4 linked regions of the Astyanax mexicanus genome follow. The protein of the gene in region 1 interacts with the protein of each later gene in a pairwise test. Links are inferred from orthologs where the notes say so. Each region holds a gene or a part of one and is shown in the gene's direction. Other genes may lie near its edges. The genes, in order: nab2, rfc5, transcription elongation factor A N-terminal and central domain-containing protein and zmynd19.

What was found.
Region 2: the proteins of nab2 (region 1) and rfc5 interact in binary tests that used the Homo sapiens proteins (3 or more experiments, as listed by UniProt). The link is inferred for Astyanax mexicanus from reciprocal best matches to the Homo sapiens genes NAB2 and RFC5.
Region 3: the proteins of nab2 (region 1) and transcription elongation factor A N-terminal and central domain-containing protein interact in binary tests that used the Homo sapiens proteins (3 or more experiments, as listed by UniProt). The two-hybrid records come from large-scale screens. The link is inferred for Astyanax mexicanus from reciprocal best matches to the Homo sapiens genes NAB2 and TCEANC.
Region 4: the proteins of nab2 (region 1) and zmynd19 interact in binary tests that used the Homo sapiens proteins (3 or more experiments, as listed by UniProt). The two-hybrid records come from large-scale screens. The link is inferred for Astyanax mexicanus from reciprocal best matches to the Homo sapiens genes NAB2 and ZMYND19.

The regions. Positions count from the first base shown.
Region 1 is NC_064431.1:14,540,927-14,548,603, forward strand, and holds the start of nab2 (NGFI-A-binding protein 2), read left to right. Parts: upstream 1-4,660; 5' UTR 4,661-4,710; coding exon 4,711-5,628; intron 5,629-7,677. UniProt on the Homo sapiens protein: Acts as a transcriptional repressor for zinc finger transcription factors EGR1 and EGR2. Isoform 2 lacks repression ability.
Region 2 is NC_064429.1:31,486,025-31,493,134, reverse strand, and holds the start of rfc5 (replication factor C subunit 5), read left to right. Parts: upstream 1-4,083; 5' UTR 4,084-4,181; coding exon 4,182-4,228; intron 4,229-4,912; coding exon 4,913-4,977; intron 4,978-6,990; coding exon 6,991-7,110. UniProt on the Homo sapiens protein: Subunit of the replication factor C (RFC) complex which acts during elongation of primed DNA templates by DNA polymerases delta and epsilon, and is necessary for ATP-dependent loading of proliferating cell nuclear antigen (PCNA) onto primed DNA.
Region 3 is NC_064428.1:21,510,328-21,516,686, forward strand, and holds transcription elongation factor A N-terminal and central domain-containing protein, read left to right. Parts: upstream 1-4,304; 5' UTR 4,305-4,351; coding exon of another isoform or gene 4,352-4,376; 5' UTR 4,377-4,618; coding exon 4,619-5,692; 3' UTR 5,693-5,834; downstream 5,835-6,359.
Region 4 is NC_064408.1:19,972,238-19,980,032, forward strand, and holds the start of zmynd19 (zinc finger MYND domain-containing protein 19), read left to right. Parts: upstream 1-4,790; 5' UTR 4,791-4,974; coding exon 4,975-5,025; intron 5,026-7,795. Other genes in the region: bspry (B box and SPRY domain-containing protein), read right to left, coding at 518-916. UniProt on the Homo sapiens protein: May be involved as a regulatory molecule in GPR24/MCH-R1 signaling.

The DNA.
Region 1 (7,677 bases):
TTTTCCCAGCTTGTGTTTCGACTTATCCAGTCCACCTTAAATACCTAAATATTACGGTAATTCCACGCTGGCATTTGTGGCGCCCGTAAGTTATTACTCTATCACTTAAGGTGGAACACAGAATTACGAAATAAGCTGGATAAACAAGTCAAATGTTTTAGCTTAAAAAAAAACATAATTTATTTTGAAAGAGAGATATTGTTTATAAATCATTAGGTTTATATAACATCTCATAACTATTATATTTTAGTAATTATTCTAGAAATGGTACAGAACTGATTCTATGCAATATATGTCTTTTTAAAGATGTTATAAGAGACCTTCAGATGCAAAAAATACACTTTTAAAGTACGTCTACATTTTGAAAACAAAAAATGCACATGAACACACATTTATTCATTGATTCATCGTTTTAATGTTAAATTGTGAATTTAGTTTTAGATTAAAATAGATGTCTTTAGCATGTATTTTTATATTAAGTGTTTTAAAAAAAAGTAAAACATATTTTAAAATATACCTTTTCATATATACTTTAAATCTACGTTTAGCAGTGTTTTAGTAGAATAATTAAACAAATCAAAATAATTTTCTAATGTAAAAAGCAGATACTAGATGTTAGTTTCCAGAAAACATTTACATGCTGAAGCAATGTGAACAGATTTGGCTCTACACCCCCTCTACCCAGCACACACTTCCGTAGTTGTGTAAGGGCGAGTGGCTCAATACCCCCATAGTTGGCTTCTATGATAATGTCCATCAGTGTGGGTGTACACTTGAAGGCGAATTCTACGTTGGTTATTCAACATTTCTGCATTATTTAGCTGGCTGAGATCAACAAAGTGGGACAATCAGTGCCTTTATGACAATGCAAATATACACATTTTATTAGTTTTAATTGATTTGATTTAGATTCCAGACCCAGCAGTAAACAAACACAGTGACCCTTGTAAGTAATGTTAATTATAATATACATATGGTTAAATTTTCAGTAACCCTTGTAAGTAATGTTAATTATAATATACAAATGGTAAAATTTTATTTTATTAAAATATATATATTTTTAGTTTTTTATTCAGTTAAATAAACAATGGACAATAAGTGTTTGATTACCGATTTAATTAATAAATGTCAACTGTCAACATCTCAGTAATTGTTATCTATTTGAGTTGGAACAGAGAATAAATTGGTTTTAGTTAAATAGTTAAATATTTTGAAAATTATTTTAGTATTGGTGTGAAATACTTACGTTTTTCCTAAAATGGAGCGTTTCACACCAAACATTTTTGCTCACTCATCTTATGTGTTAATAAAACTTTTTTTTTTTTTTAAAGATTTATTTTTTTGATCGCTGGAATTCCACTTTTTATCACATTATCAACAGATCAATTGCATTAGCCAGCATTAGCCTAGCAATAGTTACGTTTTTATGCTTATTTTGCTGACCAATCCCAAACAGCACAGTCAGAAATGCTGGGGTTTGCGTGATGCAGAACCGCAGCCCGCTTTATTATATTCAGAGCGGACTGACATCACGGGGGAATCCCGCCGTCCGACCTGCGTCACGCGCGGAATCTTATCGCAGTCGGAAAGAACTCGAGCGCCCACCCACGGGGGCGTTTCCTCGGGCGTTCTTCTGTTTTCCACCTGTATTCAGACAAGACCCGCCCACTACTTGCCTTTACGCGCTGGGATTGGCTGGAATTCCCTTACTACGTTGAACTGCTTGAAGTGGTAGCTAATCCCAGCGCACTATGGGATTGGAGGGGCGGGGAATGTTTGAAAGCGGGTGGGAAGCGTTCATCAGGGATAGCAACAGCATTGACAGCATCCCTTATTGACTACTGATTAATTTGTTTGAGATAGAAATTAATATGATTGATAAACATTCAGAAAATATTTATATGAATGAGGAAAATAAATCAAAATAATAATAATAATGTTTTCTCTTAGGATCAAACTGTATAATCCATACAATATTATTACAATCATAATCTTGTGGGTAATATGTGTATATTGTTTTTCACAATATACACATATTAGTTTTTTGTGTTTGATCTATCAGTCATCCTTCCATATATCCGTCCATCTATCAGTATACGTTACTTATTTAGACATTGTACAGTTTTATTTTTGTTTTTGCTTTTGTGTTTGATATATCATTCATCCATCCATTCATTTATCCATCCATATATCTTTCAATCTATCAGTATATGTAACATAAACAGCTAAAATAAGCATTTGTTGATTCCAGTCCAGTAAACAGAAATGATATTAGTGTACACAGTGGGCTTGTTAGGTTAGCTATATTTACGTGAGAACCCATCCGGAAACGGGTGGAAATTTAACCAAAAACGACGCCGTGAAACCCCATCCGCACTCCCACCCCCACCCCCCGGTTGAGAGGCGCCTGTAGCCGGGAGAGGAAAGCTCTTTTTCGGTCAGATGGCGTGCCGCAGTCCGCCCACAGATTTCTCGCGCCCACACCGCCAGCGAAAAGACTGTCATTAACAATACAGCAGCAGTGGGACCGCGCGGCGGAGCGGAGCGCACTGTTCCCCTTCAGCGGACTTCTGGAAACATGTTAAACCTTTAACTTAACATTTAGCGGACGTTTCTCGGTCTACAGAACCCGCAGATAGAGAATAAGCCGCTTATTTCGGTAAGAAGACGCGGGAATGAGATGTGAAGGCTTTATGTAAACAGCGCCAGCAGCCTCACAGCGGACACCCTGCTAACTGCTGCTGCTGAAAGTGGGCGAAAATCCGTACAAGCGAACGAAACGCGGAGCGCAGAAATTAACGCAGGTAGACAGAAGGTGCTGGAATCGCCTCGAAATTCACCTTTTGAACCCTAGGGTAAGTAAAAACACGCCTGCTGTTCAGACTTAAACTTGAATCTAGTACAGGGCTGTTTCCATTGTTTCTCGTTTGAATGCTCCAGCATAGATAGGGGTGTTTAATGTAGCTATCCTTGTATGTATTGCAGTGTGCGCATGCGTAGAAGTCATATTGAGGGACGAGCATTGTCTTGTGCAATGTCAAAAAAATATTTTTAAAAACTTTTGCCTCAATGACAGGGCAATATAATTTATTTACTCCTTTATTGGGTAGACACTAGGGGTGGGCGATAAAGCCCTAAAATAATATCACAATGTTGTATGGTATTTTCGATAATGATATTCTTGACAAAATGACAAGACACTGAATTCAAACGCTTATTTCAAGAATACACTACTGCAACAAAATTAAAATTAAATTTTATTATGTTATATGATATGATATGGCACACCCCTAACTGAGATATTAAAAAATACAATAATTTTATCAGATTTGTAACAGAAATCAATAATCCAGAATGTCATGTTGCTAATAATGCACTTTATATATCTCCATATATCCAGGATTAAAGTAAAATGAAAAATACTGGACAGATATAATCTGTCTCTAGTAGATATATAATGGAAAATGAGAATAGTGTGATTTTTTTTCTTTTGCTGACAACAGCAAAACAAGTATGTGATAATTAGGGGTGGGTGATATGGCACAATATTTTTATTGTATAATATTGTTCAAGAAATTCCAAAATGTTGGCGATATTATTGCGAATGATACTATATGGCACACCCCTAGTACTCACAGTACGTTATTAGCTAATATAATGTCAAACATTTTTTTTATATTGCAGTATGTTTCATAAAACACATTTAAGTAAAGCAGTGTCAGATATTTTACAGTATTGTGCAGCCCTATCTCGGCCAGTGTAGTATATTATATACTGTTTAGCTAATTAAACTCGCTCATGTAACTTACTCCAAACCTTACATCCTCATTTTAACCAGCGGCAACTAGTGTTTGTGTATTATTTCACACATTTATGGAAACATAATAACAAGGAGAATTTAATAAATGAAGATGATAATAAAAAAAGAAGTAATCTTGGTTTATATTTTACAGTAACATGTGTGGATTTTTCCTTTACAATAAAACTAAACAACAGTGGCAATTGTCAAAAATACAGCTAGATCTCATCACCCCTCGCTAGTTGAAAGGTTAATTTGACTGCTTTAACCTTAATATAGTGGTTTATTTATTTGACTGGCATTGTTGTTAATTTTGTTTTAGATATAATCTTTATGGTTTTGTAATAATACAAATATTTGTATAGGTTTAGCAGTTTTTTTTTACCTAAAAGGGAACATGTATATTCCTCATAAATGTTTAACCCACATGCGCCCACACTGTTATTACAATACTGTCAAGGTCTCATGATTGCCAGTTCCAAGGAATTTACCTCCTGAGCCCACACACACAAACACACACACACACACACACACACACACACGTAGAGTTGTGGGCAGTTCAATATAAATGTCACCAGCTGAATCTTGGGTCATTAAGCTTCACCATCAGCAGCAAGAGTTCAAAAGAGCACAGTTGGTCATGCTTTTTCTCTCTGGTTGGGTACATCAGGTGGTGCTCTCTCACATTGCTCTCATCACTCCCATTGTGATTCTGGTCAGCACCGGTATCTGTTGGCTGGTGTATTAGAGCTTGGGATCCAGTGAGGTTTTGCTGCTATTTTACAATCAGTAACATTCCATATAAAAGTCAGAAGACACATGTAGTTTCATTGGTGGGTTTAAACAGAACATTTGTTCATTATAATGTTATTCTTATGGTCACTTCTCATCCAGCCATATAGCCACCCAGGATGTCGCTGCCGAGGACACTAGGCGAGCTGCAGCTGTACCGGGTCTTGCAGCGGGCCAACCTGCTGATGTACTATGACACCTTCATCCAGCAGGGTGGTGACGACGTGCAGCAGCTCTGTGAGGCAGGTGAAGAGGAGTTCCTGGAGATCATGGCCCTGGTAGGCATGGCCACCAAGCCCCTGCATGTTCGTCGCCTCCAAAAGGCCCTGCGTGACTGGGCGGCCAACCCTACGATCTTTAACCAGCCCTTGGCCACAAACGTCGCTGCTGGAGGAATCCCACTCTTTAAGATAGACAGCAGCAGCGCTGGAGGAACTGCTGTCGTTGGGTCAAGAAAGTTGAGCAATGGTCAACCAGGGTCGCCTTGTGATAGAGAAGATCAAGGGTCCTGCCTTACGCCATTACGAGACAATGGAAGCCCTAGAAGCCCCTGCTCTCAGGCATCACCTTTACCACCCGATCATCTATATAGGGACAAGTTGAGCCCGATGGAGCCGCACTGGCTCAGCCCAGACCCAGATGGAAGCGTGGGAGCCGATGAGGAGCAGCCCAGTCCTCCATTGCCTCTTACGGTTCACAACAGGCCCATCGGCCTCTCGACACCACCCACTTCGTCCTCATCCTCCTCCTCGTCCACTGCAGCAGCCTCCCCATGGCCTGGCGGTCAGCTGGACCCAGAGACGGCACGGGCCGTGGGTGAGAGCGTGGATCGCCTGCTCAGGACCATGCCCCAGGCTGACCCGGGTGAGGTAAAGACTTTACTGAGGCTCAACAAGAAGATGGCCAAGACAGTGGGACACATCTTCAACTTGGAGCCTCAAGACAAGAGCAAAGAGGAGGAGATCCGCAAGTACAGCCTCATCTACGGACGCTTCGACTCCAAGAGACGAGAGGGCAAGCAGCTGACTCATCACGAGGTACGTACACCTGGGGAGATTGGGGAACTGTGATTAAGTTACTGTAAGCTTCCTGGCTGCTGCGCTTTAGCTCCAACGCCAACCTGCCATATGCTCCACCAGTCTCAGAGGAGCTGTCACAGTGCTGCTGCCAGAGAGATTAGGCTGGTGATGTGGCAGCGGAAAGGTATAAAGCAGGGGTGTCAAACTCATTTTGGCCGAGGGCCACATTGGCATATTGGCTGTCCTCCGAGGGCCAGATGTAACTTATAAATATAAGAAAATGTAACCAAATGTAATATATGTAAATGAATGTAATTACTCCTTAATGTTAAATAACTCTCAATATATTATTTATTCAATCAAATATTACAGTTGCATGGAAAAAATGTTTGCTTGTTGCTCTATTAACATAAATCCTGTTATGAAATCCAAAAACTCCATCAATCAAGAACCAAACTATACAAGTGAATAGAAATGACATAAAATACAAGTTATATTAACTTTGATCAAAACGTTTGATACTGAAAAGAGGCTTAATAAATATAAAATCAAAAATTGTGAGCTGTGACAGATTTAGCATTTCCTCATCCAACCACTAGTGGGAGCTGCAGCAGCACAAGCCCACAGTCTTTACTGAGTCAGAGCTACAGCCCAGCCACGGGCTACAGGACTCAGTCTGGAGCGTTTTTAAAATTTTAAGTTCTTCTGTGTATGAAATAAAATAACCCCACTAACCGGATAATACAGCTCTCTACAGTTCATCTTTCAGCCCAAGCAGCTAACAGCAGCAGTTTAGAGCAGCCATCCCGGAGTCACTGCTCGGATTACATTATAAACAGGTCAGTTAGCGCGCTGCTAACCTCAGGATGTTTATAACTACGGAGTTTAGAACACACCACGGCTGCAAGGTTAGACTGTTGAAGGCTACTGGAGACTATTAAAGGCTATTGGAGGTTATTGAAAGGGTTATTGGGGGCAGAAATCAGTAAAGGCTGGTTAGATAAGTGATTCACCTCCTCGTCCTTTGCTGAGGTGAAACTGCGACTAGCGATGTCACAGTGAAGTTTATTAACCTCATTAAAACAGATTTTATCAGCTATTGTCTTATAAATATTTACACATAATTTATATCTCTTCTAAAAAGCGTTTATTTTGGTCAGTAACACAAAATGCATACCGGTCTTTCGCCTTGAAGCACAGCCGTCCGTCTGCATCAACTTTTCTTTTTCTGGATATTATGGGATAAACATGTCTCAATTCCACCCGCGAAGTTACACCTTCCCTCCGGCAGGGTTTCCACATCAATGACTACACTGCCGTGTAGTGGCAGTAAGCCGTAACTTTGCGGGTAATACAATCGACAAGCATTGTGGGAAATGTATTTTTTGGTCAAAGAACGCTTCTGACCTATTTATTATAGACACTAAGATTTTACAAGCTCTCGCGGGCCACATAAAAAGACGTGGCGGGCCACATTTGGCCCGCGGGCCTTGTGTTTGACACATGTGGTATAAAGGGTAGAACTTTTTTTTTGCATTTGGAACCCAGGAGAAATAGATATTAAAGTATATTTTTTGTAAATTACTAATTTTTGTTGTTTTGTTGTTGTAATTATTAAAATCAGAATATTGATTCCATAGTCTGCAAAGGCTGGTGTGTCAAAAGTGCATCATTATATCTGTAGGGGTTTTATATCTAAGTAAAAGTTTGTAGTTTATTTTGAAGACCACATGGTGATATGGTGGTCCAAGATAATATATTGAGGCCAGAAGACAGTGTTAAAGATAGTTAATTATATATTAAGGCCATATGATAATATACATAGAGGACATGACATACCGGTAATTTATTAAGACAATGAGATAAGGCCACATGATACAATATTTAGGCCATAAGATAATATGTTAAATCCAAAAAATAATACACTGATTATAATCTATGAAGACCATGAGAACATTAAGTTTCATGCGCCCACAAAATAATAATTAATGCCATGAACTTATACATTATGGCCACAACATAAAATAAAGTATTAAAAACAACCACCACATCACTGTAAGATCTTTG
Region 2 (7,110 bases), on another chromosome or scaffold:
CTCTGCCTAACGTTCTGCCAAAACATTAAAACCGCTCTGAGTTCCTCCAAAACAACACTAAGAATGTGTGCCCTGGTAGTCCAGTAAGTTATGCCATAACATTAAAACCACCCACCTAGAAGATGGTACTGTAAGTAGTGTTATAATCATTAAAACTGACCCATTGAAGGTGTCATGTTGTACCAAAACATTAAAATAATTTTGCTAAACTGTTTTTGTAAAAAGGAGATGAGCAGACAAAACATGAACTTTGAACTACCTTTATACTGTCTGCAATGAAATGAGAGTAAAGGTAAATATAACGAACACTGCATTTTCCTTTTATTGTATTTTACTTTTTCTGATTTATGGTTTCCGCAAATATTTCCACTCACACTTTTATATTTATAGGCCTTGACTGAAGATTGCTGTGGAAAATGCTGTGTGCTATTGTTGCGTGGACGATTACATCAGAGCGTTTTCAGTAAGAACAGTAATGCTTTATTATGGTCTGTCTGTCTCTTTAATACACAATGGATTGGAAAAACTACAACTTAGAGCTCAGAAAAACACATCTTATGTAACTCTATCTTCCAGACACACACACACATACACACACACACAATAGATTGAGATGTAATAGTTGCTGGTTCGAAGTGTTTAAATTGCTGTTTTGAGTGTGTTGTAATCCTCACATTGTGCTTATGATAATGGTGGAAAAAACAGGGTCAAATACAAAACAACAACTATCCTTCCATGTCTAACTCTCACTGATGTTTAAAGTTGTGGTCCTTCCCTAAAAAGTCCCTAAAATTTCACTTACTGACAAAAAAAGAAGCTGCAGTCATGGCACACCCTGTACATTAGTTAGTTACTGTATGTGAGCTTCAACCAACCTCACTACCACAGTGTTAGTATCGTCGTTAGCATGGTGACTACAACATTATAATATTAGTGTGGTATTGGCTCTGTTCCCATGCTATTAGCATCACCACCATGCCAATAGTATCACCACTGTGCCATTAGCATTGCTAACTCACCAACTTCCACATCAGGGCTGGTTCCCAAATTTTGTTTTTGCAACAACTATTTTTTGAAGTATCTCTGAAAAAATCACAAATACCCATTTTGCTGTACAACGTGAAGATATCTCCTTGCTTATTTCTAATTGAGTCTTTGAATCATATAAGAGCAGCAGACAGTTCTGGCTTAGTACGACAGGTCCTGTCAGTGTGAACATGATATATATGCAGAGGTGGAAAAAGTACTGAAAAATTGTAATTAAGTAAAAGTACCTTTACTTTGCTAAAATTTTACTCAAGTAAAAGTAAAAGTACCCCTCTAAAAATCTACTTGAGTAAAAGTAAAAAAGTACTCAATTTAAAATGTACTTTGAGTAAAAGTTACTTGGTTACCTTTAATTATTTGACGTAAAAAAGTAAAAACAAATCATAAATTAAATTGTTTTTAATAAAATATTATTCCACATAATATTTAAAACCTTTCAGGCAGTATTTGTTCAGATCAGCCCATAAAACATTTTTAGTGGCATAGGTTTCTATGATCCATTTTTTGTCTTTACTGTTAAAAAGTTATGGTCATATAGGTGACTATAAACTGTATTTTTATCATTTTACAGTTCATTATTATATTTTAACTTGCCATTGCTTTGCTTTAACTGCTATTTACATGTTTTTTTTTAAACATTTAAGCAGATTGTTTAAAGATAAAAATACTTACAACACATGCTTTCTCAGGTTTGATGTGGAAGTTTTGAAAGCAGACAGCTCTGTCCGGCAGGGCATGGCACATTTTGCATTGCATAAGGTTGTTATTGCCTCGTTATTCTACGCACGAGCACGTTTGTTTTTTTTTTTTTAATTCAGACAATTGTTTTTTTCCCAGCATTTTATTTTTTTCCTCAGTAATTGGGAAATTTCCAATGTAGCAAAGTAAATTACTTGTGTCAAAATGTACTTGTGTAAAAATAAAATTACCTATTTTAAAAATGACCTAAAAAATGACCTAACTTTAAAAATGAAAAGTTACTCATAAAATGTACTCAATTACAGTAACTTGAGTAAATGTAATTAATTACTTTCCATCTCTGTATATATGGAATATATATGGATGAATTAAACACAATTAAACTGACTTCCACAAGGTAACGTTTGCTAAACTGTGGTGAATTGTTGCTTAGTGTTTCTGGCTTGTAATCCTTTTGTTTATTTAATTTGTAGCATTAACAGCTAGCTGTTAAGCAAGCTACTAACTTGGTTAGTAGCAGCTAATCTCTCTTAACGCAGACTTAACCTGATACCCCTCTGCATGTATTTTGTGTTTCATTTAATAATTTAATAAATAATACACTGTAGGAAATAGTATAATGCATAATTTTCTCTTGAAGACACATGCAACATTTTTATTTCTTTACTTCATACATCAATTTTAGCCAGTGTTATTAGCTCTGGCTTTAAATATATGTCTATCAACATGTCTACCCATTATATTACATTATATTAGAAAAGCTGTGTAGAACCGGGGCTGCACCACATGATCACATGATATGGTACATGAAATATAATAGTTTATTAACATATAATAATGAGTACTCCTACTTTTGAAATGCCACTGAGAAGTTTTTGCAGCCAACAGAAGCCCAGCAAAGCTAAGCTTTATTTTCTTATTTATTTTATTTATTTTTACACATTCAATGTGGAGGTTCATGGTGGTCCACAAGCTGGGACAGTGCTAGTGCTTGTTTTTTTTTTTGAGTATAGGTCAAAATACGACCCCTCTGCAGGTTCTGTTGGCATAAAAACTTGCTAGTTCAGCACTACTAAGAGCTTCTAGAAACCAGGCTCAGTGAACACACCTAAAGAACACACCTGGCACGGCTCTACCTGCCCTGCAGGAGATACGGCTGAGAGCCATGAACACATGCAGCTCCAGCAGGGCCTGAATGTCCTCCCTGGTTCAGATGAAGAAGTTAAGTTGCTTTCCATCTCCAGTGTCCCAACAATCCCAGCAGTAAGTTTTCACTATGCTAATATTACCACACATTTTTATCTTCCCCAGAAATAATTGTATTAAACCTTAAATGTGCTATATCATAAAAAGGCTGGCTGAAAGTTTTGGAACAGCCTTGATATATTATAATATAATAATATATGTCCTTTAGGTTTCAGTATGTTTTCATTCTTTTTATTATTATTTTAGTTTGTAAGTTTTAGTATGTTTAATACTAATATGTTTAATTGATATTCTATGTGTATTGTAACGTTTAGCATTTTAGTGTTTAATATTGTTTAATTTAGCTTGTGTTATATTTTATTTTATTTTATATTTATTTTTATTTTATTTCCAGTGCTTATGTTTATATCATGTTTATATGACATATTTATTACATATTATTTTTAGTATGTATGTGATAGTGTGTAAGTATGTTATTTATTTTTTTGTATATATTTTTGTGTATATATATGAATGTTTTAATGTTTATAAAGTTTTGTATTAATGTTATCATTCTTATTTTTGAATTGTTTAGCATTTAAGTATTTAAGTGTTGTTTTATGTTTTATTTATATATTTTTATTTCCAATGTTTTGGTTATTATATATCATGCTTACATATTATTTTGTATTTTTTCATGTTTTATTTTTTCTTTTTATACAAAATGTATATTTCTTTTTTTGTAATTTTGTCATTATGTATTTTTCAGTATATTTTTACTAGGTTCTAAAAACGGGTCTCATTCAAAAAGGGGCGGGGTTAGTATTCCCCGCCCTCAAATTGTATTAAGTTTGTGATTGGTTGGATCTGTAAAGCAGGCCTGTGTCGTCAGAAACGCTACTGACAGCAGTGAGAATGGATTCAGTTGATCTGAATCTGAACTGATTCTTTCAATCTGTCCGCTTTTTACTGAATCAAACTTCAGATTCATAAACAGAACAAAAAATCTGGTTTATTATGCGAAGGAAACAGATATTACGAATATTAAATAAATATTTATTGCGTTTAAAGTGCAAATCAGCTGGCAGAACTTAAGGAAATCGCATATATTGTGCAGAGACCACTTGTGAACTTGTGAATCGGTTCGCTGGTTTTCTGTTAAAAGATCCGGTTCAAAAGAGCCGACTGGTTTGCGAGTCGGGCAGCAAAAGCGCGCCAAGAGAGAAGTGGGATAGAACAGACAGCAAAACATGGCATCTACCAGCAAAACAGCGGTTCCAGCGAGGAATTTACCATGGTAAGACAGGAGTAGGATAGTTAGAGAGTCGTTTCAGGCTGTTGTGTGGTTTATTTAGTGGATTTAAGGGTTTAATAAAGAGAGTTTTTTTGAGAACTGCTGTAGCTATAGGTTCATATAGTGGGGCTAACGCATTAGCTAGCCTAGTTAGCTTGCAAGCTCTATGTCAGCTAACCTAGGTTAACGTTACTTACTAGCCTAACTTACTTGTCGTTTTCTGGGCCTTTTAGTGGCTATAAAACATCTAATACACGTTTTAAGTGTGGTATTATGGTGCTGAGACGGTATTTAGACGTAGAAAACGAGACTTAATAAATGTTTTTCTAACTTTGATTTTGATAAATTTGATATTTATCGTTAACTAACTAGTGAACAAGCTATAAGTCCAAATGTTTGTGAACAGCCCTTCAAATTAACTAATGCATTTAGCTAGCTAGATAACTAGTTAGTTAACTAACATAACTTAGCTGCTTGTATTGCCAATAGAATAGGACCCCCTGGAGCAGGTAAGGTAAACATGAACCTACTAGCACCTTGACTAATGCCAGACGTAGGGGGTATAAAGCCCCCCAGCATTTGGTCCATGTCATAGAGATGTAAAACTGCTAATACTGAGGTGCTTTTAAAGTAAAACACACATTTGATTTTGTATTTTATTCTTTTTTTTATTTTTTTGATTTGCAGGGTTGAAAAATACAGACCACAAACACTAGATGACTTGATTTCTCACCAGGACATTCTGAGCACAAGTAAGTAGTTAACACAGAATACACTAGTCATAACACAGAAGGATAAACTGATAAACTGCGATAACCCTTTCATGCATAGTAACATTAGTCACTACAATGGACATTTATTCAAGTGATTACTTTCTACATAAATCAGTTTTACTATTATTAATGCATGAAGAAAGGTCAAAAATCTGTCAGCTTCTGGGATTTTTATAGAACGCACCTCTGAGGGTAATATTTGTTCTGCACCATTAAAGTTTCCATTTAACTTAATTTATTTATATATTTTTTATTCAGTCAAGTGAATAATTGAATTTAAAATACAAAATAACTATACATTTTGTCAGCATAAAGGAAGAATAACTGTTTGGAGAAAACCCTGATTCATGTTGTCATAATTCATGCATAAGGGGGTTAAGTTGTGTTATCTAGTATTCCTCCTATGTAGTGCTGATGCATAACCATGCAGATTACCTTAGGACCAATGGGTTTTACAGTAGAACAAAATACTGTTAGGTAGAGCAGGGCCATTTTATTGTTCATATATACAATAAAATAGGTAATCGTTGGTGCTTAAACAACAGTCCAGCTGTTTGTTTACTGATGAAGTATAAATAGTCCACTTTAATATGATGAATTGCAGCATTGTTTTAAATGAGTGTTCTAAAAGTTGTTTCTGTGTATCTGTGACTACTGATTAATTTTGACTGTGATCACATGTGTTGCAGTAAATATTATAAATTATAAATATTCTTACCATATTGCCTGGTCCTGTACAGTAGTACAAAAACAATAGACAAACCACAGAGACATGCTGCATAGACAGCAAATATGAATATGCATGTAGGGTAAGGGTGGGCGATATGGCCCTAAAATAATATAACAATATTTCATTGTATTTTTGCGATAACAATACTCTTAGCAATATGACATATAACACTGAATTAAAAAATATTTCAAGAATACACTACTGCAACAAAATAAATTAGATTTTATTATTGCATACGATGATCTGATATGATATGGCACACCACTAACTGAGATATAAAAAAAAATACAAGAATTTTATCCGATTTGTAACACAAGTCAATGATCCAGAATGTCATGATACTAATAATGCACTCCAAATATCTCCATATATCCAGGATTAAAGTAAAATAAATGATACTGGACAGACATAATCTGTCTCTGGTATATATATATATAATGGGAAATGAGAACAGTGTGAGTTTTTCTTTGCTAAAAACAGCAAAAAAAATTATATACACAATATTTCAAAGTATAATATCGTTCACGATATTCAGAAATGTTGGCAATATTATTGCATACGATACGGTACAGTAACTGTTAGTCAGAAGCAGTGGTGGAATATTACAAATACTAGGAAACTTTACTATTTTATATAGTATCTGAGGGGTTTATAGATTTAGGGTGTTTTGAGTCATTTTCACACCTGTAGATGGTTTCCATTAGACTGAACTTGCTGCAATTCCTTTTGTTTTTGTTGGTTTTTAGAAATTATTACAGTATTGTTGTGTGTGTGTTATGGCACAACCCTGAGTTAAGATACAATATAGTATGGTAAACCTGACCAGGTGTTTAAATTATATTATTTTAAGTGATTTATTTAGAAAACCTACCAGTATAAGTCTAATTAATTGTAGACCATCACCAATAGTGTATTATTTTGTCTTAATTCAGTTTTAATAATGAACGTAAATTTACTCTATTTACATTATTGCTTGTACCTGCATAGACCTAATCTCCCTTTAATCCAATGTCGGCGTTCCTCAACCTAAGCCCCTTCCTGATGGTTGTTCAGATGTAGTTTTCTGGACTGTTTGAATGTGTTTTGTATGTGAAGCCCAACAGTGTTGGCTGGATCTGGACTGAAAACCAAATGGACTGCTGGTTATACAATAGCTAAATTCTGCTCAGTACCAGCAGCAGCAGCAGCAGCCGTAGATCCAGTCTTACGAAGTGTGCTTCAGACAGAGTTTCTCACAAGCTTCTCTGAATCCTCCTCCTCAGTTCAGAAGTTCATCAGCGAAGACAGACTGCCTCATCTACTTTTCTACGGGCCTCCAGGAACAGGAAAGACCTCCACCATCTTAGCCTGTGCTAAGCAGCTCTACAAAGATAAAGAGTTCA
Region 3 (6,359 bases), on another chromosome or scaffold:
CCTCAGCCTTACTGACAGCTATTTGTCAAACTAATGCAAATTCCAAGATGACTGGCTCAGATGTATGCAAGTCATACACTCTTTTCTTTACCAGTTATTCTAGATGTTTGCAGGATGTTTGTCTCTTCTGTTTTAGTGGATAAACACTAAAAGTAACTTGATACACCAACAAAACAATGCAAGATGCCACAGCACCCGTCAAGCAATGGAGTGTGGGGGTTGAGGAGTGAAGAAGGTCATGTGATGTCATTCAGGAAGACACAATTGGCAGATTCAAACAGCATTGAGGACTTGTGGGAGTGTTGAGAGAAATCAGCCACTTTAGGATGTGTGTGGACAGCAGAGAAGAATATGTGGGAAACAGGTCATTTATAGAGTACTGCAAGAAAGCATTAGGAATAAATTACAAAGCAGTCATTTGATGGTCATCAAGACCAGTTTTTGTCTGTCTCATTTACACAGCCCCCGGCCCTTCTTCACACAAGCAAAGTCCATAGTGAGTAGATGCTGAACATCTTAAGTTTGCTTCTAAAGATTCTGTCGACCTAAAAGAATCAAACGACCGCACAGTCGTGCCAGACTGTCATGCCGTGACTCAGAATGGCAGTTTGTTGTCACACATCACCAACCAGGAGGCCTGGTGTCATGATGTGGGGTACAATTTTGCATGATGACAGATCATCTTTGGTCTTCATTACAGACATTTTGACAGCTCAAAGTTACATAAATGAGGTCCAGCAACCAAAAGGCCAACCTTTTTCAGAAAGCACATTCAGGTACACTATTACAACAGGACAATGCTTGTCCATATATTGTTGAAATTTCAGGAGTTTACCATGACGACACTACTGAGGATACTATGCCATTGCCAGCCACATCACCAGACCTCTCCCTGACTGAAAATGTGTAGGATGCTACTAGACATGCAATCAATACACCACTCCTGAGTCCTGCCACAAAATCTGCAGGAACTGTGTGAAAATATTCAAGCTGCATGGGATGCATAATCACAGGACATTATTAGGAACCTCTACATGCACAGGCGTTAAACATACACTACACATTACGTATGTAGATGTAGCTTAAAAAATACAAACAAAGAGTTGTCCATGTCTGTCTTCAAACCAACACTTCCTTCTGGGTGTAACTATTTTTGTAACTATATCTTTGAGAATTGTCTAAACATCTACTCCTTTTAATGGACCGGGCCTTTAATAGACCGGGCCTATCTAATAATACGCTGACATTTCAGTGTCATACTTCACCAAATTAAAGTGAAGCGAATAGAGGAAATAAACAAGGGTACTAAATAAAATCACACACTCAGAGAAGAACAAACTGGTTCTTTGTCATCTGGCACTGAAACAGTGTCAATTAGCTTAGCTTGTGATGAGGGAAGTAGTGTGAAGGAAGCACCAGGGAATCAGTCAGAACAATTGATACCCTTCAGACCGTAGCTCCCACTCTGCAAAACGGTATTTAGCAGAAGTTGCCTTGTTTTCCTGATCAGAGACCAGTTCCTCAAGTTAGTTTACAATAGCCTTGTTACAGATTTAGACAGTGGAAGTTGGTCACAGATCAGTTTTTAACAACATAGCTATGAACCCTAAGTACTGAGCACAGCAGGAAATGCTTCTTGCTCATTTAAGCATGGAGTCTTTAAACTGTGCGCTTCTACTGCACTCTAGCTGCAGACAGAGGAAACTGTGGACTCAGTAAAATTCCACTCGCATAAAAGTGATGGGACATCCGATTCATATCAATGAACCAAATGTCCAATTCATTGACTCTCAAAGTCAAGACAAGTCAGCTTTTTATATCCTGTCCCTACATACTTTTAGAAACAGAAAAAGGAGGCCATCTACAATCTACAGAAAGAGAAATTGGAAAAAATAAAATGTTTGAGTTTGATTTACCCAACAGCTGCTCAATATGGAGTTACAATGTAGAGGTGGACCAATTCACATTAAAGCTAAATACATATATTTAACTATTCAAAACACACAAAAACTTGCACAACTAAACATAAAGCCTAAACACTACACCCATGATCTACAATCCCTCAGTCCCTTGGGCACTGCATCAAGAACTGTCATTGAACAATAGTGGATAGAACCACATGAGCAAAGGATTAATTTTCAAAGCTTTTGTCAAGCACAGCAATACTAAAGTACATTCACAAATAACACCTAAGACTTTACTGTGCAAAACAAAAGCGTGATGTTATCCATGTCCAGAAGTGATGTCAACTTCTCTGGGCTCATAGGCATCTGGGATGGACCGTCCATGTGCATGTGCTCTGGGCAAAAGACAAAAATGACCATCCAGACTGTTATCAGCAACAAGTCATGCATGGGGTTGTTTCAGCACAAATTTGTGATGGTAGCATTAATTAAAAGTACATAGAGATTTAAGAGAGTAACAGATGCAGCCTATATGACAATTTTTTTTCCAGGGACATCCATGCATTTTCAACAGTTCCATACGCTGCACACAATGCAAAGGCTGCACATGTCTTTAAGGTGTTGAGTAAAGATATGAGAGTATTACAAAGTAGTAAAAGTTTTATCTTTGCAGGCCTGAAATGCAAGAATAGGGCCCTTTCAACGGATCAATTCATTCATTTTTGGACATCGCAGCTGCCCACCCAAGTAAGTACAGACTGGACGGCAGAGGTGCAGACATGTTAGTCATCTCACGCCTGCAGGCCCCATGCTTTTAAAAGCAATTGTGCCTAATGGCTTCTAGTTGAAGGACTCCAGGCCTGATAAGAAACCAGACGTTCCACTCAGTTCTCAAGGCCTGTGGTTTTCGCAGCCACACCCGAACGTACTTAATGGATTACAACAGTAGGGGGTGGGAGCCGAGAGGTAAACCAGTTGCAGAGTTTTTCTCAGTGTTTTTGTATGTGTTTGAACCTCTCAGGTTACTACAATTGTGGAGAAAATTAGAGAAGAATGTCCTTTATACTGTTTGTATGTAAAGTTTTGAGCCTTTCTTCTTTAGTCATATATGAACTACAGGATATTAACAACCCCCCTGTGGGAGTTCACTCTCTTTAAAGTGGCAGGAAATCACACCAGACCAACACGACGTGTCCCTTGGGTCAGGCTGGTCATGAGCGCTCAGTTCATTCATTCTTCAGGGAGGAGAATGGACATAGTGTTATGGCATTTGAACTAAGGGATATCACAAGACAAACACATAGGCTAAGCCAGTACAATGGAGCAGATAGTGTGTGGGTCAGAATGAGGGCATTGTTGAGCCCAATAAACACATACCTCTGTATTATAAATCCCCAGTGGTATTATAAAGCAAACTATTACAATAAAAACCAACTTGAATACACATAGTTGAGTATAAGTCAGCTTATCTGAATAAAAATGGTCAATTTTACACAATAAATGACAAATGTTTTAAGACCAGTTTGTTGGTATGTTAAATACTCTCTCTATCTTTGCACTCTGAGATATACTACGATGTAGGTATTTTTAACTGGTCTTAGTTTTAGATTTACTAGTAGACTACACATATTAAAATAAACAAGAAATACTTGGGATATATATGTGGTAATGAATTATAATATGAATGAAGAAGTATACTAATAGTACACTTAAATAAACCGATTTATATTTTTTTGTAAGGGTTGAGCTTTACAATTCCCAAGAGAATACTGAGTGTTGTGTTTTGTGTAGGACTGATTCCCAGTGACACACTGTCCTAAACAAACTAATACTAATACTTTAATAATAAATATAACCTTTAAATGTTTTTAACACATCGTTTTTGTAGTAGGTTGCTGAAAATAAAGGACCACTTAAAATTTGGAATATTATCAAGAAGAAGATGGATGATCACAAGCCATCAAACCAAGCTGAACTGCTTGAAATTTCTACCAGGAGTGGTATAAAGTTATCCAAAAGTAGGCTGCAATGAATGCATGAAAACTGTGATTGAAAACCAGGGTTATTCCACCAAATATTGATTTTTGAACTCTTAAAACTTTATGAATATAAACTTGTTTTCTTTGCATGATTTGAGGTCTGAAAGCTCTGTATCTTTTTTGTTATTTTAGTCATTTCTGATTTTCTGCAAATACATGCTCTAAATGACAATATTTTACTTGGAATTAGGAAGAAATGTTGTCCGTAGAATAAAACAACAATGTTAATTTTAGTCAAACATATACCTATAAATAGCAAAATCAGAGAAACTGATTCAGAAACTAAAGTGTTTTTTACGGAGCTGTATATTTTTTGACCAACTGCGCCATCCAGCGCCTGAGTGAAACACTGTCTCTGAGAAATCACAACAAACATGGCGGCTCGGAGCTACAGAAATACGAACTGAAATGAAGAGGCTGAATAAAGAATACGGTATTGATTACAGATATTGAATCAGACATATAATTTTTACTGCTGTAATGATTGTATGGGAACAGACAGTCCGCTTTTTTAACGTACCTCAGCCTCTTCTGTTCAGAATAATAACAAAACATTATCTCCTCAGGCTGAGAGCTTTAGTTAGCAAGCTCATCTAACTGGCTAACTAAGTATAAACTGAATGAAATGGGTAACTAGCTCAACTACAATGCCAGTTTTGAGTCCTAGCAGTAGCTATGGACACCAAAGAGCTCATATTCTACGCTATTCAAATAGAAAAACTACAAAAAGGTTGCAATTATGAAGAAGTTTCATCTCTGCTTGCAGACTTGAGCAACAGTCCTGTAACATTAGAGCAGCTGCAGACCACTGACATCGCCAAGACCGTTTATCAGCTATTAAAATCATGTCCAGTGCAAACTAGTGTTCGCAAAACAGCAAAGGAACTGCTCTCAAAATGGAAAGGGATGTACAACTCATCCCAAGGACACAGCAGTACCAAAGACACAAGTCAAATAAAAGAACATGGACCACCTGAAATGGCTCAATCTGTTCCAAGTGCTGAGACTGAAACAGTTTTGGGCCCAAAAGTTCAGCACAGTGATGTCCAACAGATGTCAAGTTCTGATTCAGATCTACCATCTTCTAAAATCACTGCACTTTTACTGAAGGCAGATGATAGCAAGTCCACAGCTTCAGTTCCAGAGAACCACAACGGAGAAGATTCTAGGGTTCAGTCTACCAGTTCCACAGACTCCAAACCTGTGAGAACCAAGTGTGTGGAGCTTCTTATCCAAGCCTTGATCCCAGACCAGAAACCCACAAACCCAGAAGACACAAGACAGATTTCCACCCTAGCTCAAGCCATTGAACAGCACATTCATGCTCTCCACAGGCAAAACCAGGCAAAGTACAAGTCCTGTGTAAGAAGCAGGGTGGCCAACCTGAAGAATCCAAAGAACCCTCATCTTCGCCAGGGTCTTCTGACAGGAACCCTAACCCCAGAGGTTTTTGCCCGCATGTCTGTGGAGGAGATGGCAAGCGAGGAGCTCAGGAGCCTGAGGGAAGGATACACTGCAGCAGCTATTAGTGAACACCAGCTACCTCAGCAGCCTGAGGGGACGACCACCACGAAAGTGCGCTGCCGCCGCTGCCAGAGCATGAACTGCAGGGTGACCCAGGTCTCCCGCGGGACCCTCTTTCTGCCCTCCTGGGTGAGGAGTGGAAATAACGACGAGGACGCCATGACCTTCATGACCTGTGCTGAGTGCGGGGAGCAGTGGTACCATAGTCGCTGGGTATGCCTCTAATAAATAAGCCTAGCATTGACTGTGGGCAGGTTGCATGACTGCTACAGTGGCCCAGAGAGTCTGTACATCCTAAACAGCTATGTTTACATTCAAAATATTTTATATGTATAAAAATATTGAATAAAATATTTACATAACAAAACATTGGTATATCTTATTTGGTGGCATGTATTGAGTGTTACAACAAAATTGTTCAATATTTAAAACCAATAGACTTGTGCATATATACCTTGCTTGGGAATAAACTATAGGGAAATTGCATTGCGTGCTTTTAAACTTTTATATAGTATATGGTGTGCCAAAGAACCTATAATGTGCACCATGTGTATATATAATGATTTTAGAGTCATATAACTAATGAACTATATTCATTAAGAAATGGGAAAGAAAATCTGTTTTTATTTTTATTTTTTTAGAATATTAAGAGCATTGTACACAAACCATTCTAAACAATTATCTGAATGACTGAAAAAAATACACACACACACACATATATATATATACAGGATTTGTTTTTTAAATTGGGTATTTTGTCAATTATTATTACATTTGTTGGGAATTTTTTTTTTTTAATTTTCAGTTATCACAATAAAACTACATAAAATTTTGATAGCGTTAACAGTGACAATAATGATTATGTAACAATGAATCCATACTAAACTAAACT
Region 4 (7,795 bases), on another chromosome or scaffold:
TACTTCTCTGATTATTACTGTGTATCGTGATATAATTTTTATCACAGGATATCATCTTTAAATCTTTATTGTGACATAATATGATAAATATGTGAAACTGTGATAAAAAAAAACAGGCTTATTTCACCAAATATTGGTTTCTGAACTCTTAAATGATTTGTGAATATTAATAATTTCTTTTTATTTTATTTTGCATTATTTGAGGTCTGAAAGCCCTCCCTTTTTGTTTTTTAGCCATTTCTCATTTTCTGCAGTTTTCTGAATGACAATATTTTTATTTGGAATTTGGAATAAATGTTGTCTGTAGTTTATAGAAGAAAACAACAATTTTAATTTGGCTTATAACATATAATTATAAATAGCAAAATCAGAGAAACTGATTCAGAAATTAAAGTGATCTCTTAACCACAGTGTTGGGTATGTTATGTCCTATGTGAAGCACACAGACAGTAAACAACAACACAAGTTGAGTTACATTCTTCTGTCACAACGTTACCTTAATGTTTCAGTAACTCACCCTGACGGTCGTAGCTCGTTCGGTCAGCTGTGTGACTGTGTGACCCTGGCAGGAGCCCAGAGTTTCACACAGCGAGCAGACCGGCCTCTGCTCGGTGTTACAGTACCGGTCCAGCTCCGACTGGTGTGCGGGGCAGAGCTTCACTTCAGCCGGGGAGCCGGAGTCCGCCGCGGGGCTCGCCCCCGCCACCGAGCCGTTTGAGTAAAGGGACGGAATTACGTTTATCCAGGGGTCTTCAGACAGAGTGTCAGAGAGAGGAGACCCCTCCACCGAGCTCCTGCTCCTGCTGTTGTTATTGTGCTCCTTCTGAGACCCCCGGAGTCCGGGGTCCTCCTCCTCCTGCTCGGTGTCCCGCAGCGACACCACGGCCAAGTCACAAAGTCCGTAATCAGCACTCATGACTGCTGGAGAGAGGTGGGAGTCTTCAGCTGTGTTAAAAACAGCAGCTACAGCGTTAAACTCTACTTTACAAAGCTTAGATAGTTATAGCTATTACCCTTTCTCAGCTGTTCTTTTAGCTGCGCAGCAGGTGCATCCAGTTCTGCCACCCAGGCCTACCTGGCCTACCTGTCACAGGTGTACAACACGGAAGTTCCAGCTCCAGGTGGAGGATCCAGTTTTTCCAAGAGAGAGAGAGAGAGAGAGAGAGAGAGAGAGAGAGAGAGAGAGAGAGAGAGAGAGAGAGAACGAATGAGCGAGAGAGAGAGAGAACTTACGAGCGAGAGAAAGAGAGAGAGAGAGTGTGAGAGAGCGAGAAAGAAAGAGAGATAGGGAGAGGGAGAGAGGGAGAGAGAGCAAGAGACAGTGAAAGTAAGAAAGATATATTGAGACTAAGGGAGGGGAAAAAGTAAGATATAGAGAGAGAGTAAGTGAGAGAAAAAGAGCGATAAGGATAGAGAGAAAAAACGAGTAAGAGGGATGCAGAGAAAGAAAAAAGAGAGAAAGAGTAAGAGAGAGAGATAGAGAGAGAGAGAGAGAGAGGAAGTGCTCTCTAGTTTCACAGGACAGCCAACTAAACTGGATAGTTGACTTTAACTGAGTTGAGTCCCTCAGCAGCTTTCAGAGTTGAGATCCAAGTTAATCATCCCATTTGTAAAGAGCCAGAGTGGGCGGAATGGGAAAACAATGGCAGGTTGATGTTAATGGTCAACCCAGTGGCTCATGCTCTCACAGACCTACTGCACAATAATGACACTCACATACTCTCTCTCTCGCTCTCTTTCTCAGGTGTGCCCTTGGGACTGGATGCAGTCAAATCACAGCAATGTTTATTCCAAAGTGTGTTGAAGCCAACCAGGGTATACTGAAGCAGGATACATTCTAGTGTTTTTTGTATTTGCTTCACATTTTAAATCTTTATGCACACAAAACTTTATGCCAAAAAAAAACAAAAAGACTTTGCATAATACATTTAAATAACATGCTATTTGACTTACAGTAGAAAGTCACCTAAAATTGAAATACGTCTGGTATGGTGATGCACTGTTGGTCTGTTCATTGACACCTGCACAAATATATAGGAAGAAATTATTTCTGTCCTCATAACAAAAATAAAGTGAATGGTAAAGGAAAACTACTTCTTATCTTTCAATGGAAGCCAATTAAAGAAAGTTTATTTCAAGTACTATTTGACATTTTTTTGGTCCTAGAGTTGCCACCAATGTTTAACAAAAACCTGGACACTGTTATACTAATATATACTGATAGACTTTTTCTCACCAACATACATGTCCTTAAGGTGAACATAACAGAGAAGATCAGAGAAGGCTTGGTGAAGTATGGTTTTACACAGCACTGACTATATTAACAATGGTTGTATTGTTTTTAAATAATGCTACAGCAGAGCCACAGTTACCAATTCACTGCCTGTCCAACTCTACCTGTAGGAGCCACCAGGGCTGATGGGGTAGTCAAGTCTAATGATTCTGCAGTATCAATGAAAAACAGTCATGCAAGTGCACCCAGAGTCTAATCAGTCAATTTAACAGACACAGTAAGACAATGAACTTACGAAACTGGGACATTTAGAGATAATCATTACCCTGGATGGGTAGCAATACACTTATCATGAAATTTTGACATGTTAGATACATATTATGTCAAAAAATAAATAAAAAATTGCGTGACACTGACTATGCTATTTTTAAGAATGTGCTTTTTGTCTTGCATTTAATATTTCAGTCCTAATGCAATTCAAACTAACAACCATCTAATGTGTATAATATGATGTGTAAAATGTGTATAAATTATCTAAAGTGTATAAAGTTGGGGTATTAACTTTACTCAAGTAAAAGTGTAAAAGTACTGGTTTAAAAAGTACTTAAATTATAAAAATAAAAGTAATTTTAAGGGTGGGGATGATAAAAAATGTTTTTAAGAGATTTATCTGGATAGTTTTTTTAAAGATCATGGATCCGGAATGAAAACAAGCTGAAATTAAATAGTAAAAGTAACAAGGCTATTTGTAATGTAATATATGGAGTAGAAAGTTAAGATAATTGTGTAAAAAAGTCAGGAAGAGAGGCAAAAAGTCGTCTTTACTCCAGTTAAAAGTATAGATAACCAAAATTTCTTCTTAAGCAAGGTAACAAAGTATATGTACTTCATAACTTGACACCTCTGTTTATAACACTAAAACTTTGTTGCATACTAGTTGAGTATATAGCAGTTAGCACTGCTCTAGGTTATCTGTTCACGCTCTGACTCGGAATTTCGCGCTAAAACGGCGCCACGTTCCCGCGCTCAGAGAAGCGCCAGCCAATGACGCGGCGGAAGCGGGCGGGTAGGAGGAGCTTGCAGTGAGATTCCCTTCCTTGATTGGCTGCTGGGATCAAACCCCAGTACGCAGCCAGGCACACGTCAGACACAGTCAAATACGCGGCGTTTTAACTGGCTGAGGCGCTCGGGGTTCTTCAGGGGTTGGTGTGTGCTGAAGCAGGGCTCTGTCCCGCCCCCTGTGAACGCTGGCAGCAGAGTTGCCAGATTCGAGATTCTCCCGCCAATTTGAGCATGTTTGAAAATCAAGTGTGCTGCCTTGAATGTTACATGAACACGGTGGGCAAACGTGTACAATAAGAACCAGGAGAACATAACGACATAAGGGAGATAAAGAGAGAGAGAGAGATTAAATGTTCTTGACTTGGATATGAAACTGTTATAAAATAATTGATGAAACACAAATTTTACAATATTATTAATGACTTTATGATAAATAGCAATACTGATAATGAATCCCTTATAAACAAAATAATAAGTCGTACACTCATCTTTGTTTTGACATTTGCTTTAAACGTGTGACAGACATACAGCTCTGAAAAAAAGTAAGAGGCCACTATACTTTCTGAATCAGTTTTTCTGGTAAATATTTGAGTAAAATTAACATTGTAGTTTTATTCAATAAACTAGGGACAACATTTCGCCCAAATACCAAATAAAAATATGGTCATGTAGACCAGAAAATGAGAAATAACTAAAAAAAGATGCAGAGCTTTGAGACCTCAAATAATGCAAAGAAAACAAGTTTATATTCATAAAGTTTTAAGGATTCAAGGAGATTTTATTGTCATTCGCATCACATGTGGTACATGAGGTGGAATGAAATTGTGGTCTCACGATCCAGTTTACACCCAGGAGCAATTGTTAAAATAGATACATATAGACAAAATAAAATAAAATAAAAACAAGAATACAATAAAATAGAATAGAACAAAATAGACATCAAGATAAACACACAAAAAATAGGGAGAGTAAGCAGGTGGCAGCAGCATGAAGTCCAGAGTGCAAGTTAGCTATAGCAGCATAATAGTGTGAATTAAGAGCATAAGTGTCTCAGTTAAGTTTATAATGACAGTGTTTGTAAACAGTAATTGTCTTTGTAAAGTGACAGTGCAGTGTTCAGAGTTCAGAAATCAATATTTGGTGAAATAATCCTGGTTTTAATCACAGTTTTCATGCATCTTGGCATTTTCTCCTCCACCAGTCTTACACACTGCTTTTGAATAACGTTATGCCACTCCTGGTGCGAAAATTCAAGCAGTTCAGCTTGGTCTGATGGATTGTGATCATTTATCTTCCTCTTGACAATATTCCAGAGGTTTTCAATTAGGTAAAAACAAAGAAACTCATCGTTTTAAGTGGACTCTTATTTCTTTTTTTCCAGAGCTGTATATTTTTTGGGCTTTAAGCTTCTGAAGGGCGGGTTTGACACTGACTTTGGGCTGGATATTTTTGTTGGACCTGGCAACCCTCTCTGGCAGGTTTTCCAACGCCACTCAGCGGCGGCGCATCGCGGTGGTTTGGTAGCGGGTGGGGAAGAGTCGGGCAGCGGCTGACCCTCGCAGACAACAGAACTTGTAGGGAACTCGGGGTGAGGGGTTGCCCGGACTGCCTTCAGACCCGAGAACCGCCAGACCTGCGCTTAAAACCTTCCGCTCATCACCTGCGAGACCGTCCGTCTAATGTCGGATTTCAAGCTCGGGATTGTTCGACTTGGCCGTGTGGCCGGGAAGGTGAGACCGATCCCGGGGACTGCCATGTGCGAAGGGGAGGGGATCACAGAGCTGGCGAGGAGGCTTTTATTAGCAATATTTAGAGATTAACGCATAAATCAGCGGCTAACTTACAGTACAGCACGATGGTCGTTAAAACACACACCCCCTGAACGTGTCTGTTGGTCGAATAAGCGATTTTACCGGTGTTCCGTCGAGTTGTGCTACGTTGTCAAACCGTGCTTCCCTAGTGTAGCTGTATTTAACCCTTTCAGACCTGAATTATGTGTTATATATATTCTAATATAAAATCTATACGAACATTAAATCAAATTAAATAAATTTAGTAACTGTCTTATGTCTATTGCATTGGAGGCCAGTGCTTAACATTTTTTGATTTTAGATTTGATCTTGTCCTTTTTGTTCACAAGCCATCCCTAAACACTAAAATAAACATGGTAAAAAGTGTTCTAAATCACACACAATTAGTACAAAAAATAGCTTTTTTAATTTGCCTATGTGACTCTAGTGCTAGGATTTTTGCAGTGGGCAGGGCTAAGCTATTGTTTCATAAGATCGTTTTTAGTCTATTCTGATTAACAAATGGTCTCAATTAACGTTAGTGTTCTGCGCAACAAAACATTTAGGAAAAAAAGAAAACGCATGTCTGTTGTTGTGGCAAGTGGCCTGAAATGGTTAAGGCAAAATATATAAGGCGGCAAAAATACAAATGAAGCACCATATTAGAGCATGATCCCTGTATGTTTATATATATATTGGATAGTATAAATCACTGTATTAGGGTGAAGTTAGCTAAGGTAATGGGAGGTAATTAGAAACTGCTTTTTGTATTTTTTATTTTTCTATTTATTTATTATTAATTGTCATTTTTTTCTTTTGTGCAATGACTGTGAGTCCAGGTTGTTTAATGCTCAAAAAACCATAAAAGATAATAAACACACTTATCATATTAAAAAAACGGAGAAATAATTAAAAAGTGTAGGTGAGCGCATGCGCAGTGCCTTTAGAAAGCGCGTATCGACGGATAGCATAACTCGGCAGAACACCGGAATAGCTTCCAAGCTAACGAAGCTAACGCAGCTAACCTGCTAGCAAAATAAACGGCAGGGTTTATGAAGGCTGGTGAGCGCGTGTGTGTGTGGATAGTGGCCCTAAACAGCATGTCTCTTTTTATAATTTAAGATACTCATTTAACGAAACGTGGGGTTTAAAATACTACACGATGTTTCTTAAGCAGCCGGCTTAAATGAACTTAGCACTCGGTTAGCTAGCCGGACATTTAATCAGGAGACGAGTCGGCAAATCTCTGAACCAGGAACCGCTGCAACGTGACTCAAACCGGCGGCATGTCTGCTGAGTGGAGGAGTTTCAACAGCGGGCTACGTACAACAGCTAGCCCGATTAACTAAAGACTACGCATCTATAGCGTATTAAACTACATAACATAGAGAGATCACAAGCTAGCTATTATTTATCTAGATAACCCAGTAACAGTTAACCTAGTTCGCTACAGTGGGAGCTAACATTAGGTTACACGGTGTAACTATAGGTCTATAGCTTGCTAGCTTAGCAAGTTAGCCCCTAGCTTTGCTGCTATTGTTGTGTTAGTCAAGCCTTTTCAGCCTAAAATCACACCAACAATGGCTATTATCTCCCAGTTAGAGTTCTGTGTAAAGCAATTTTCGTAGTAAAGACTTTTACTTCAGGTGTCATCTAACGTTTAGCTAGACGTACTATATTTTAATATCAGATCTGTGCTAAAAACAGAGCCATCCTTACCATTTTCACCTGCCCTTAATGTTATTACTAGCCACATCACCATCACAATTCTCACCAGTCTTAAATGTTCTTTTTACTTGCCACATCTTCAACATAAACATCTGTCCTAATGTTATTTTTGTACCACTTTACTTGGATGGTCCATTTGATGGCCCCATTGTCTAACATTTACCTAACATTCAAATTCACGTCTATTAAATGCAAATTAACCCTATGTGGAATGTAAATGATTGAAAATAGAACTGAACTAACTATTATTTAACCCTAAAATCTAACCATAACCTCAATCATTAATCAACCCTAAAATCTAACCGTACACCTAACCCTAATCTTATCCTTAACTATAACATTTCTAACCCTTAACCCAATCTCTAAATGTTAAGATTAAAGTTTGGGTTAGAGTTGGGTGTGGGGTTACACTGAATAGATAATTAAATCATTTATTTTTAGGGTTAAAAAAATGGTTACGGTAAGGGTTAGGCGTAGGGTTCGGTTCTATTTTGTGTTATTTACATTCCACATAGCATTGATTTGCATTTAATAGACATGCAGTTGAATGTCAGTTGAGCATCAATGATGCCATACATTGACCATCTAAGTAAAGTGTTCCTGTTATTTTTACTAGTCACAACCCCATCACCAATACCTGTTTGTAATGTTATTTTGGGATTTTACTCACAGTAACACTTTACAATAACAGTACATTATTTAATTAACAGTACTTACAACAGATTATGTTGTTAGTTAAGCCTTTATTAATAATGACGTTTTATTATGTTTACAGTGTTTAATAGCGTTATAATTGTTATTCCAGACATTGCTTAACCAGTTAGTATCGTTTATGACTGTTAATTGATATGCTTATTGTAAAATGCTCCCTCACTCTCTTATGAATAGTGACATTTTTGATTGTAAAAACAATCAAACTAACTACAATTACATATAATTGCTTTCTTACTAGTGAAAATAAATTGTAATTCTTATTGCTATA